Linked DNA regions of Drosophila melanogaster. The gene in region 1 interacts genetically with each later gene. Each region holds a gene or a part of one and is shown in the gene's direction. Other genes may lie near its edges.

What was found. A genetic interaction does not mean that the proteins touch.
Region 2: of SMC1 (region 1) and babo, changing one enhances a phenotype caused by changing the other (phenotypic enhancement), as found in Drosophila melanogaster (one study listed by BioGRID).

Annotation. Positions count from the first base shown.
Region 1 is NT_033777.3:24,056,357-24,063,362, forward strand, and holds SMC1 (structural maintenance of chromosomes 1), read left to right. Parts: upstream 1-1,930; 5' UTR 1,931-2,044; coding exon 2,045-2,443; intron 2,444-2,498; coding exon 2,499-2,647; intron 2,648-2,705; coding exon 2,706-2,874; intron 2,875-2,932; coding exon 2,933-3,955; intron 3,956-4,018; coding exon 4,019-4,588; intron 4,589-4,654; coding exon 4,655-4,910; intron 4,911-4,966; coding exon 4,967-5,271; intron 5,272-5,334; coding exon 5,335-5,435; intron 5,436-5,500; coding exon 5,501-6,004; intron 6,005-6,064; coding exon 6,065-6,242; intron 6,243-6,303; coding exon 6,304-6,366; 3' UTR 6,367-6,459; downstream 6,460-7,006. Other genes in the region: Hsp68 (heat shock protein 68), read right to left, coding at 1-748.
Region 2 is NT_033778.4:8,950,396-8,955,385, forward strand, and holds the start of babo (baboon), read left to right. Parts: upstream 1-1,943; 5' UTR 1,944-2,576; coding exon 2,577-2,634; intron 2,635-2,707; coding exon 2,708-3,022; intron 3,023-4,338; coding exon 4,339-4,456; intron 4,457-4,563; coding exon 4,564-4,772; intron 4,773-4,990. Other genes in the region: CG33199 (uncharacterized protein), read right to left, coding at 311-361; CG8229 (uncharacterized protein), read right to left, coding at 1-192; Tom7 (translocase of outer membrane 7), read left to right, coding at 1,398-1,497, 1,607-1,671.

The DNA of each region.
Region 1 (7,006 bases):
CCTTTTTGTACTTGCGCTTAAACTCCTCGGCAAAGTGGTTAACCAATCGGTTGTCGAAGTCCTCGCCACCCAGATGTGTGTCTCCCGCAGTCGAGCGCACCTCAAACAGGGATCCCTCGTCAATGGTCAAGATGGAGACGTCAAAAGTACCACCGCCCAAATCGAAAATCAGCACATTGCGCTCTCCCTTCAGATTCTTGTCCAGGCCGTAGGCCAGAGCCGCCGCTGTTGGCTCGTTGATGATGCGGAGCACATTGATGCCAGCGATGGCACCAGCATCCTTTGTTGCCTGGCGCTGGGAGTCGTTGAAGTAGGCCGGCACTGTGATGACAGCGTCCTTCACTGTAGTGCCCAGGTAGGCTTCTGCAGTCTCCTTCATTTTGGTGAGTACCATCGAGCTAATCTCCTCGGGAGAGAAGCACTTATTCGCGCCCTTGAACTCCACGCTTATCTTTGGTTTGCCGTTGTCGTTGATCACTTTGAACGGCCAGTGCTTAATGTCCTCCTGGATCTTGGAATCGTCGAAACGACGCCCAATCAGGCGTTTGGCATCGAACACAGAGTTCTTGGGGTTCATGGCCACCTGGTTCTTGGCGGCATCTCCAATAAGGCGTTCCGAGTCGGTGAAGGCCACGTACGATGGTGTGGTACGGTTACCCTGGTCGTTGGCAATGATCTCCACTTTTCCGTACTGGAAGACTCCCACGCAGGAGTATGTGGTGCCCAAATCGATTCCAATGGCTGGCATCTTGGCTATTTCTGTTGCTTTTTAGTTTGAACTTGGGTGCGTTTTCTTGTGGATAGTTTTCAATAATTTGTATGCTTCTTTGCGTTTTGCTTTTCTATTTTTTCACTTGGTAAAGACGTTTCAGTTTTCAACTGTCACTCTGAACTGCTTTTTATTTTTCGTTTGCTGAAGTGTTTTCACTTTGGCTGTTTGATTTCAAATGTAGCGTCTGGGAAATTTGCGCCCGTATTTATACTCAGTCGCCGGGAGGGGAAAATTCGAGATTTCCCTGCGAGAAAGGGTCAGAACATTCCAGTCAGTTCGTGTGTGTGCGAGCGAGTCAACTAGTGTGCACTTCGCAGGGGAAATTGTCAGTTGAAAGGACTGAAAGTTCAGGAAATTTCGAGAAATATATTTTTTTTATTGACATAGGTCATCATTCCAAGTGGTCATTAAACTAAATTCGTATGCAAGCTATTTTTGGCTGATTTGCGGATTGATACGTTAAGCCATTCATATTTTTAGATTCTGTTTTTGGTTTATATCTCTTTTATTATATGTGCAATACATATGTGTGTATTTTTCTTCTGATTGGAATATTTCCTCTGCAGAATATGACATACAATTACCTTAAAAGTTGAACACACTTTTCAAAACTTAATTATTCCAATTAATTATTTCCAAAAATTTAAAGAATCGTACTGCTCTATATCCAGGATACATAAATATATAGATACATATATAGGATGTACATAGATAGGATGTATATAGAATACTTCGTAGATCGATACAATCTTTAATGTGTTTATAAATAGGGAATTTTAAGATGCAAGAGCAAATGAAAAAAATCTCAGCTTGCATTATGAATATACATATGAAAATGTATAGATAATTGTACATATTAATATATATATAGTTCTGATTTCCATGACCTTTTGAAGGGTATTATGAAAAGATCCTGAAATGAAGAACAAGCCATTGGAAAATCTACAGTGATGATTGTTTTAAACCGAAAATGCCTTCGGTTCGCATAAGCCCAAGATTATAAATTATTCATTAGTTTTAAAATGTTTTTGTTTACAAATTGTATTTTGTAAACAAAGACGACCGATAGTAATCGATAGTGGTTAATTTGAAATGAAAATTGTACTATCGCTGATGTATCCCATCGATAGTTTGTTTTCTACGCCTTGCCATCTCTAGCGTCTGATATTGATGGCGTTAGCCGGATACGGTCATACTGTCATAAGAGAAAAAAAATTATTTCGCGCTCATATTGTTATTTTTCTTGGATATTTGTTGCAATCGAGCGTGTGAATGACCGAAGAGGACGACGATGTGGCCCAAAGGGTGGCGACGGCGCCCGTCCGCAAGCCGGACGACGAGACGGCCTTCCTGGAGTACATCGAAATGGAGAACTTCAAGTCCTACCGCGGTCACATAGTTGTGGGTCCTCTGAAGCAATTCAACGCTGTTATTGGGCCCAACGGATCAGGCAAGTCAAACTTCATGGATGCCATCAGTTTCGTGATGGGCGAGAAGACCAGCAGTTTGCGAGTAAAGCGCCTGAACGACCTCATCCATGGCTCCTCCATTGGCAAGCCCGTTTCCCGCAGTTGCTACGTGACCGCCAAATTTGTGCTGAACGAGGAGCGCCACATGGACTTCCAGAGGGCGGTTATCGGCGGCTCCTCGGAATATCGTATCAATGGAGAGGTTCGTATTGACAACCAATCCTCTTATTAGCCAATTAATCATATCCCCCATTTAGAGCGTATCGAGCAGCACGTACTTGAACAAGCTGGAGAAAATTGGCATCAATGTTAAGGCCAAGAACTTTTTAGTATTCCAGGGAGCTGTTGAGAACATAGCCATGAAGACACCCAAGGAACGCACTGCTCTATTTGAGGAAATTAGCGGGTAAATTTTAATTTTTTACCTAAAATCCGGATTTTTTGACCCGTGTTCACTTTTCCAGTTCTGGCCTGCTTAAGGACGACTATAATCGACTTAAACAAGAAATGATTGTTGCCGAGGAGGAGACCCAGTTTACTTACCAAAAGAAGAAGGGCATCGCGGCGGAAAGAAAAGAAGCCAAGCACGAGAAGATGGAAGCTGATCGCTACACTCGCCTGCAAAATGAATACGTATGACTCTTTATTCTGCCAACTCTATCCAATTAGCTACATCTTTTTATTCTAATAGAATGAAAAACAAGTGGAGTATCAATTATTTAGGCTATTCCACGTGGAGAGGGACATCCGGAAGTTTACGAGCGATTTGGAAGTGAGGCAACAGGAAGTTAAAGCAGTCGAACAGCGAAAAGAAGCTGCCGATGAAATCCTGCGCGAAAAGAAGAAAGACGCCGGAAAAATCACCCGAGACCTGGCCAAAATCGATCAGGAAATCAGAGAGTTTGAAACCCAGATGAACAAACGCAGGCCCCTTTACATCAAGGCCAAAGAGAAAGTTACCCACTGCAAGAAGAAGCTCATTTCCCTACAGAAGACTCTGGAAACAGCCAGGGAGGCGGACAATGCCCATCAGTCGGACATACGGAAACTGGAGAAGCAGCTGGCTGATGTGGAGGCCCTGAAAAAACGTTTCGAGGACGAGATCGAGAACGAGTCGCAGCGCCGCGGCAAAAGCGTTAACATGGAAGAGGGCCTTGTGCAAGAGTACGATCGCCTGAAGCAGGAGGCGGAAGCCACAGCTACGCAGTACCGTTCAGAGCTGGACTCAGTAAACCGGGAGCAAAAATCCGAACAGGACACGCTTGATGGGGAGACAAATCGTCGCGCCTCCGTAGAGGAGTCCTTCAAGAAGCTCACATTACAGCGCGAGGAAGCTGTAAAGCGTCGAGACAAACTGATGGATCACATCAAATCATCACAGGCTGCCTTGGAGGAACAGAACCGGATCAAGGACGAGCTCCGGCGAGATGTTGGCACATCCAAGGAGAAGATAGCCGAAAAGCAACGCGAATTGGAGGACGTACGCGATCAACTGGGCGATGCCAAGAGCGACAAGCACGAGGATGCTCGTAGGAAAAAGAAGCAGGAGGTGGTGGAGCTCTTCAAAAAACAGGTTCCCGGAGTGTACGACCGTATGATTAACATGTGTCAGCCGACGCATAAACGCTACAATGTGGCCGTCACCAAAGTTTTGGGCAAGTTCATGGAAGCCATTATTGTGGACACCGAAAAGACGGCTAGACACTGTATTCAGGTGGGTTTCAGTTGATCAACTGGGATTTACATGTAAGCATTGACGATTTTATATGTTCTATAGATCTTGAAGGAGCAAATGCTGGAAGTGGAAACCTTCTTGCCCTTGGACTATCTGCAAGTTAAGCCTCTGAAGGAACGACTTCGTAACATCAGCGACCCGCGGAACGTGCGATTGGTTTTCGATGTACTAAAGTTTGAGCCTCAAGAGATCGAACGGGCTGTGCTCTTCGCCACAGGCAATGCTCTCGTTTGCGAGACTCCCGAGGACGCCATGAAAGTGGCTTACGAGATAGACCGATCACGTTTCGATGCTCTGGCCCTGGACGGAACATTCTACCAGAAATCGGGTCTCATATCTGGCGGTAGTCACGATCTGGCTCGCAAAGCTAAGCGATGGGACGAGAAGCACATGGCTCAGCTGAAAATGCAGAAGGAGCGCCTTCAAGAAGAGCTCAAGGAGCTGGTGAAAAAGTCACGTAAGCAGAGTGAGCTCGCCACTGTGGAGTCGCAGATCAAGGGTCTTGAAAACAGGCTTAAATATAGTATGGTCGATTTGGAGTCCTCCAAGAAGTCAATTAGTCAGTATGACAATCAGTTGCAGCAAGTCCAATCGCAGTTGGACGAATTTGGAGTGAGTTTCCCTTTCAAGTTACAAAATTAAACCTAATTTATAATCTTGTCTATCCCAATTTTGCAGCCCAAGATCCTTGAGATCGAGCGTCGTATGCAAAACCGCGAGGAGCACATCCAGGAAATCAAAGAAAACATGAACAATGTGGAGGACAAAGTATATGCCTCTTTCTGCCGTCGCTTGGGCGTGAAGAACATACGACAATACGAGGAGCGTGAGCTCGTCATGCAGCAAGAGCGAGCGCGTAAACGGGCTGAGTTCGAGCAGCAGATTGATTCCATAAACTCGCAGCTGGACTTCGAGAAACAGAAAGACACTAAAAGTAAGTATACAAAATACTATGCTTTTAAAATGCCAAACAAATGCCTGCCTTCACAGAAAACGTTGAGCGCTGGGAGCGCAGCGTGCAGGATGAGGAAGATGCCCTAGAGGGACTCAAATTGGCTGAGGCACGCTATTTAAAGGAAATCGACGAGGATAAGGAGAAAATGGAAAAATTCAAGCAGGACAAGCAGGCCAAGAAGCAAGCCGTGGATGACATGGAAGAGGACATATCTAAAGCTCGCAAGGATGTGGCAAATTTGGCCAAGGAGATCCATAACGTGGGCAGTCATTTATCTGCGGTAGAGTCTAAGATCGAGGCCAAGAAAAACGAACGTCAGAACATACTGTTGCAAGCAAAAGTAAGTTAAAGTAATTATATGATAACTATTACTCTGTCTTATAATGTATTATTCACTCTGTAGACCGATTGCATCGTGGTACCACTGTTGCGCGGCTCGCTGGACGACGCAGTGCGACAAAGCGATCCGGATGTCCCATCCACCTCTGCAGCGATGGAAAATATGTAAGTTTATTTAATCACAGCATCAAAAACAACTGAACTAAAGTACGTTATTGATTCATTTTCAGTATTGAAGTGGATTATTCATCTCTACCACGAGAGTATACCAAGCTGAAGGATGACTCCGCTTTCAAAAAGACCCACGAAATGCTTCAAAAGGACCTGCAAAGCAAGCTGGACGTCTTGGAGCGCATACAGACACCCAACATGAAAGCACTGCAGAAACTCGATGCTGTAACGGAAAAAGTGCAATCCACCAATGAGGAGTTTGAGAATGCGCGCAAGAAAGCAAAGAGGGCCAAGGCGGCATTTGAACGGGTTAAGAACGAACGCTCCTCGCGATTCGTTGCGTGTTGCCAGCACATATCGGACGCCATTGACGGCATCTACAAGAAATTGGCTCGCAACGAGGCAGCCCAGGCTTATATCGGTCCCGACAATCCTGAGGAACCATATCTGGATGGTATTAACTATAATTGTGTGGCGCCAGGCAAACGTTTCCAACCCATGAACAACTTGAGTGGTGGCGAAAAAACAATAGCAGCCTTGGCTCTGCTCTTCTCGACCCACAGGTATGCAGATATAATATTTTTCCACATTTTGAGAGTAAATATTAATATATTTTTATGCAGCTTTCATCCAGCGCCGTTCTTTGTCCTTGACGAGATTGATGCCGCCTTGGACAACACGAATATTGGCAAAGTCGCTTCGTATATAAGGGATCACACAACCAACCTGCAAACCATCGTCATTTCCCTGAAGGAAGAGTTCTATGGTCATGCTGATGCTCTTGTGGGCATTACGCCTGGGGTACGTACTCAACTGGTGTAAGTTTAGGCAAGCCTAATTTTGGTTTACTCTTGACTTCCAGGAAGGCGACTGTCTCGTATCAAATGTTTACATAATGGACTTGACAACGTTCGAGGACACGTAAAGTTCATATGTCGGATGTATATTAAGTATTAGATGTAACTTTAAAGTAAATCTCGGGATTTCCAATTAATAAAGCCAGTAAATGTGTAGACGTACAATTTTTCAAACTATTCCATTACACACTCTAGTAATTCGAAAATTATACTTACTTCAAAGAAAGATAGGAACCACTTAGATGTTTTGAAAATATGTTCTGCAACTTTAATAGTTTCCTTTATTTAGGCTTGCGTTGGTTGTACTGTACCGGAGAAAGTTAAATGTGTTTGGATGTGTGAAATTATGGTTTGATGGATGGATGCTTTTGGTATATGTAAAACAACTGGGTTTTTGCTTTTAGTTTCAATTTTTAGTTTTTCTCTTTTTTTTTTCTTCACGTAAAAAACTTTTTGTATTTCATCAAGAACAAAAACAAACAATTTGATTATTCAGTTTCGGTTTGTATCATTAATTTAAAATAATCATTGCAAACAGATAAATATTGCATCGGCTAGTTAGTGTGTCAGTTTCATTGATTCATTATTATCTTTTGTGTGTTGGCTGCCTGCCGGCTATGGCGATAATCGATAAGGCTACGATACAAGGGCACGCCTGTGGGAGATTGAGATAAGGTTTGGTAAACTAAAAAAAAAAAAAATAAAATA
Region 2 (4,990 bases), on another chromosome or scaffold:
AGTGATGGGAAGTGCTGCCTCCGAGTTCAGATCTTCATCAGAGGAGACCTCATCGTTGTGTGGCCACAAACAGCTCCTGGACTCGCACTTCAGCAGCTGCTCCTCGAGATTAATGTAAAAGTAGCGCAGCTTGTGATTCCTGCCTTCACTCTGGCACTCCAGACACTCGTCTCCCGGCTGCAGTCGCTGCATTCTCAACGACGATTGTGGTGGTCCTTGGTTTGCCCGGCCGAAAAACTCAGAGGTTTCCCCCAGAATGCGCATGCTGTTTCTGCCGTTTGGCTGCCTGGTTTAATGTGCGTGTGCTCACCTGACCGAAGGTTAAACGGAAAGCGTACAGGCCGAGATTGCTTGTTTTCATGGTCCGTTCCAGTTCCAAATCGAGCAAATCGGGACCTGCAACAGTAGTAGACACGGTATCCGGTTATTCGAGCTTACATAACATCAATTGATTTTTCCCCGACTGCGTGCGCTTTGCTCTTGTTCGCTCATTGCTGGCGTTCTTTATCACTTACGTTTCGTTTGGCAATGGGAACTTTAGTGCTCGGCGCTCTCTGATTAACCGCGATTGCAGGTGCAGCCGATTAAACCAGCAACGTTGCTAAAATTTGGCGAGCAAATGAAAACCAAGAAAACTAAACGATCTAGAACTCATGTGAGTAGCGGGCAAGTGCGAAAGGGACTCGAGATTAGAGATGGGACTTCGAGTGGCTGCGATAGTATCGATCTACGGAGCACTTGCCTGCTGCGAGAGATAGCAGGGGTATTTTTTATTTTTATGCTTCATATTGTTAAGAAATCAACGAAAACTTTGAGCGTTAAAAAGAAGTTTCCTTACTTCAAATTCTTGTTGCATTTCCAACGCTTTCAGAATTTGAAACTTTGGAAATGTAACATCTTTAAAGTTGATGGGAGTACACATGCAAAAATATTGCGGGATCATTAAAAATACGAAAAGGTATTTTTCAGACCAAGCACACTTTTTTCTTTTCATGATATGTGTCCAATAGACAACTTGTCGGTGAAATGGTAGTTAAAAACCTTTATAGTGGAAAATATAAATTAAAGAATATCAGATTAAAACCCAAAGGGCAAAACGGTGTGACCGTTTTAGAAGCGAATTTAAATTTTGCGCTCAAATGTCAATGTTGCCACACCAACAGAAATCTGTATTCGAAATAATTTTACTGATTCTTTAAATTGGTAAATTATTTCAGGCCCAGCAACCTGCGACAAAGCCATCCCAAGAAAATATAAATTGAACGAGTAACCTAACAAAAAGTTTCTGTCAGCTGTTTTATATCGAAAAAAGTGCTGTTTTCCAACACTTCGTTTGCAGTCAGACAAGTTATCATTTCATAATTCGCAAAAGGAGCTAAATTCAATATCCGTACGAAATGAAGCTATCCGAGGGAGTTAAGGATCGTTTGGGATTTGTGGTTGGAGTCGTCCAGACTGGATTCCACTGGGGATTCGTGCCTCTTGTGCTGTATTTGGGTAAGTTGTGGTTCATGTTTTTTGTAATCTACACGCGGCTGGGAAGAAGAAGCAGCGGGGTAATATCAAATGGACCGACATTGATTTTGACCAATTCTCATTTTCGCAGGATTTATGAAGGGAGCTGAGCCTGGCATGCCGCCTCTGAACCTTTTCAGTCTGTTATGGCAGTAAAAATAGTGGACATGATCATTTTGCTGTCGTATGCCCCGCATTTTGGTTCTGGTTGGGTTTCTGGGAACGGGTGCAGTACCTGCAGCTATTGCAAATAAATATCTGTTACAAAACAAATCGAAATTTTTTTATGTATCCTGGAAACAACCAATATTTTAACAAAAATCATTGTCCATAAAAACATAACCGATTGGGCATTTTTACGCACTTCTCTAGCGGGTGGGTGTTTTTCATGGGCAGTCCAGCCTGGGCACACTACTGCAGGTGCGGTCACACTGTTTGCAAATCCACACACACCAGCGCGGTTTTTCGCTGCACAAAATTGTACATTTAAGAAAAAATAGCAGCAATTAATATAAACAAACGGTTGCCCCAGACACCCGAAAGTGCCGGCTGTCCCGCGGAATATGAAATAGTGCCACTTCCCCCGCGCCACTGCCCCAATCACGTGATGAAAATCCGCCTGAAAAGTCGCCCTCGTCCGTGAAATGTAAAGCAGAGCAGAGCAGTTTTTCCAACCAACTTGTGCGGAGTGTGGAGTTCGAGTTTCGCATTGCGGGCCCCCATCGAGATTCGCTAATTGTGAGAATCGCCAGTCTATATTCCCGGCCATGCCCCCGCCAAATGTGGGAATTCGCGGGCGCCTGTCCTACGCGATAAATGCGCAGTTCGGGGCCAATTAGTGGCTGTCTGAGGTGTCCTCCTGCCGCTCCTCCTGCTCCTGCGGCCCCGCCTCGTCCTGCCGCGAAACAACAATCTCATTTGCAGGCCACAGACTTTGAACTTGCGACGCGCGTGTGCGTGCGTGCGATCGTGGAAAACAAAAGAAAAGCTCTCGGGCTGCACAAACAATAACAATAGCTCGGGTCGGGTCGCACACACTATCGTCGGTGCGAATAGCCAACATGTTATCTGCGCTCCGGCTAATCTTCCTGGGCGCTCTGCTCGGCGCCTCTGTTTGCGGTGAGTGTACCCCCCAGCGGTTCCATTAATCTGGATCAGGTGCGAAACTAACCTAAAATCTCCCCCGGTGCAGCCTCCCCCATTGAGTTCGTAATGGACACCAGCCTAAATGGCTCTCGATCTGATCCTGCGACTGCAACCCACCCTGGCAAATGGCCACCGACGACCAAAGCGCCGGCGCTCAGGGCTCCAGCTGGAACAGCTGGACATGCTTATCAGTCGCCATCGTCGTCGCTGGCCGCTGATAACAGAAGCCACGACAACAACAACGCTAGCGCCGTGTCCATGCTGCTGCCGCAAGACGGCGACGCATCTGGAGCTGTGGCCCCTGCTGTTACTCCCCAGCTGCCCATCTACATTGCTCAGCCTAGCGCGAAAAAGCCAGAAAGTAAGTTCCGATTGCCTAACGAGAGTGTAGAGCACACTGCGGACAATGCACCCCGAATTATCTAAACAACAAGAATGTGATAGATTTACAGACTTGTTCCGGTATTGCCTTGCAAACATTTTACTTGACTTCAGTTAACCAGGAAAGTCAGCACAGAGTAAAGGTCATTTTACTTCCCTTTTTTAAGGTGAAATCCATTATTGGGAGAAGATAGAAACCGCTTAGTGGTTATACCTTACTTGTCCGATATATTGACATTTTTGTTGTTGTTGTTTAATAATTAAAATATCTTACCAAGGGTTACTTAATACTTGGCGATCTTTTCGATGCCATAGGGATCTTTTCTCCGTGTGTATATCGCGTGACTGTAACACCTCAAAGACTCTGAACGCTTCTAAAAGGCCGTCTTCGTCTGCGCCTGAGGCTCCGATTCCGTTCCCATATAGTGACGTCACCTCTCCGTGGTGTCAATGAGCTGAGCCAGACAGCTCTCATGGCCCACTCCAACGCTGCCTGGCTGCAGACACCCCCACGTCTGGATGCATTTGCTTGCTGCACTTGGGCACTTGCAACTGCAGTCGGTGCAAAAAAAAGCAGGCCTAAGCACTGGCACTGGCTTCTCGCTGTCCGGGGGAAGGGGAAACTGGTCGCATTGTCTGGCCCTCCACTTTGCACTTGTCTTCTCCGCGTCTGCTTTGTTAATGCTAAATGGTTTTGTTTTTGTTTCATCACGCTCTCGGCGGTGTCGGTGGCGGTAGATGTGGATATGGTAGTGGCTATGGATGTCTATGTGACTGTCTGGGCGAGCGTGTGCCCGGCCAGGTGCCCCGGGGGCATGGTTATGGCAAATCCCAATTTGTGGTCAGGAGATGCCAATCAGCGAGTGGTTGATTTATGGGTCTCTTATTTCTCTAATTAGTTAATTTCTGCCAGCGCCTAATTGATTGATTTGCTTCAATCGGAGTCGGGGCATTTTCTTAATTCGAGAAGTTTGCTACTGCTAACCTATGCTTTTGCGTTTTATTTGTTTAAATAATAAGAAAATCATTAACCGTGGCAAATGAGGCGCGGACCTCTTCCTTTGCTTACCTTTCCACAAGTAATTAATATTCATTAAATATTACAAGAAACACGTGCTTGGTTAGGATCACCTACAAATAGTGAAGATATATCGTTAAGCGAAGAATAAGTTTTTGTTGGTGAGTCGGTTTAAAGTTAACAAATTTTTGGTAGGAATGTATGGATTTGATAGTACTCTAAAGTTTGGTTTTTTGCAAATAGATCTTTATATTAATTTTACCTTTTATGTTCTGCAGACAAGATAAAATGCCACTGTGACACGTGCAAGGAATCGAACAATATATGTGAAACGGACGGCTTTTGTTTCACGTCCGTGGAGAAGAACTCTGATGGGAGCATCATCTTCAGCTACAGGTGAGTGCCGAGAGCCTGAGGAGCAGGCCTTTGATTAGGTTAGCACTTGCCCCTCAGAGCAGCCAGTGTGAATATGTCTGATACGATCGATCTATCGAGCGATGCAGATGTCTGCACAAGTCTCAAATCTTTCCGCCGGGCCGCTCCATCTGGTGTAACGACGGGCTGCACGGCGGACCAACCGCCCGCCCAGTGGGTCGCAATGGCGCCCACGCCTGCTGCAAGGACAGGGACTTCTGCAACCGATTTCTGTGGCCAAAGACGAAGGACCAGAGGAGTGATCGTGTCGAAGAAGGGCGGCAAATCTCCGTCCAAGGTGCGTGCGCTTATGCACGTGTTTCGCTCCCAAAAACCCCTCCTCTCTGACTGCTCCCATTTCTCTGTTCACTCGCACGCCGTTCAACAACCAGTTGCCCAGTTTTGATCGTTCTTTGGACTGTTTCCCCCACTTATGCTCGTTGAGTTGAAGTTTTGAAATGATCATAACCCCAAATGCAGAGCACTACTAATGATGACCTGCTGAAAACCAGAGCG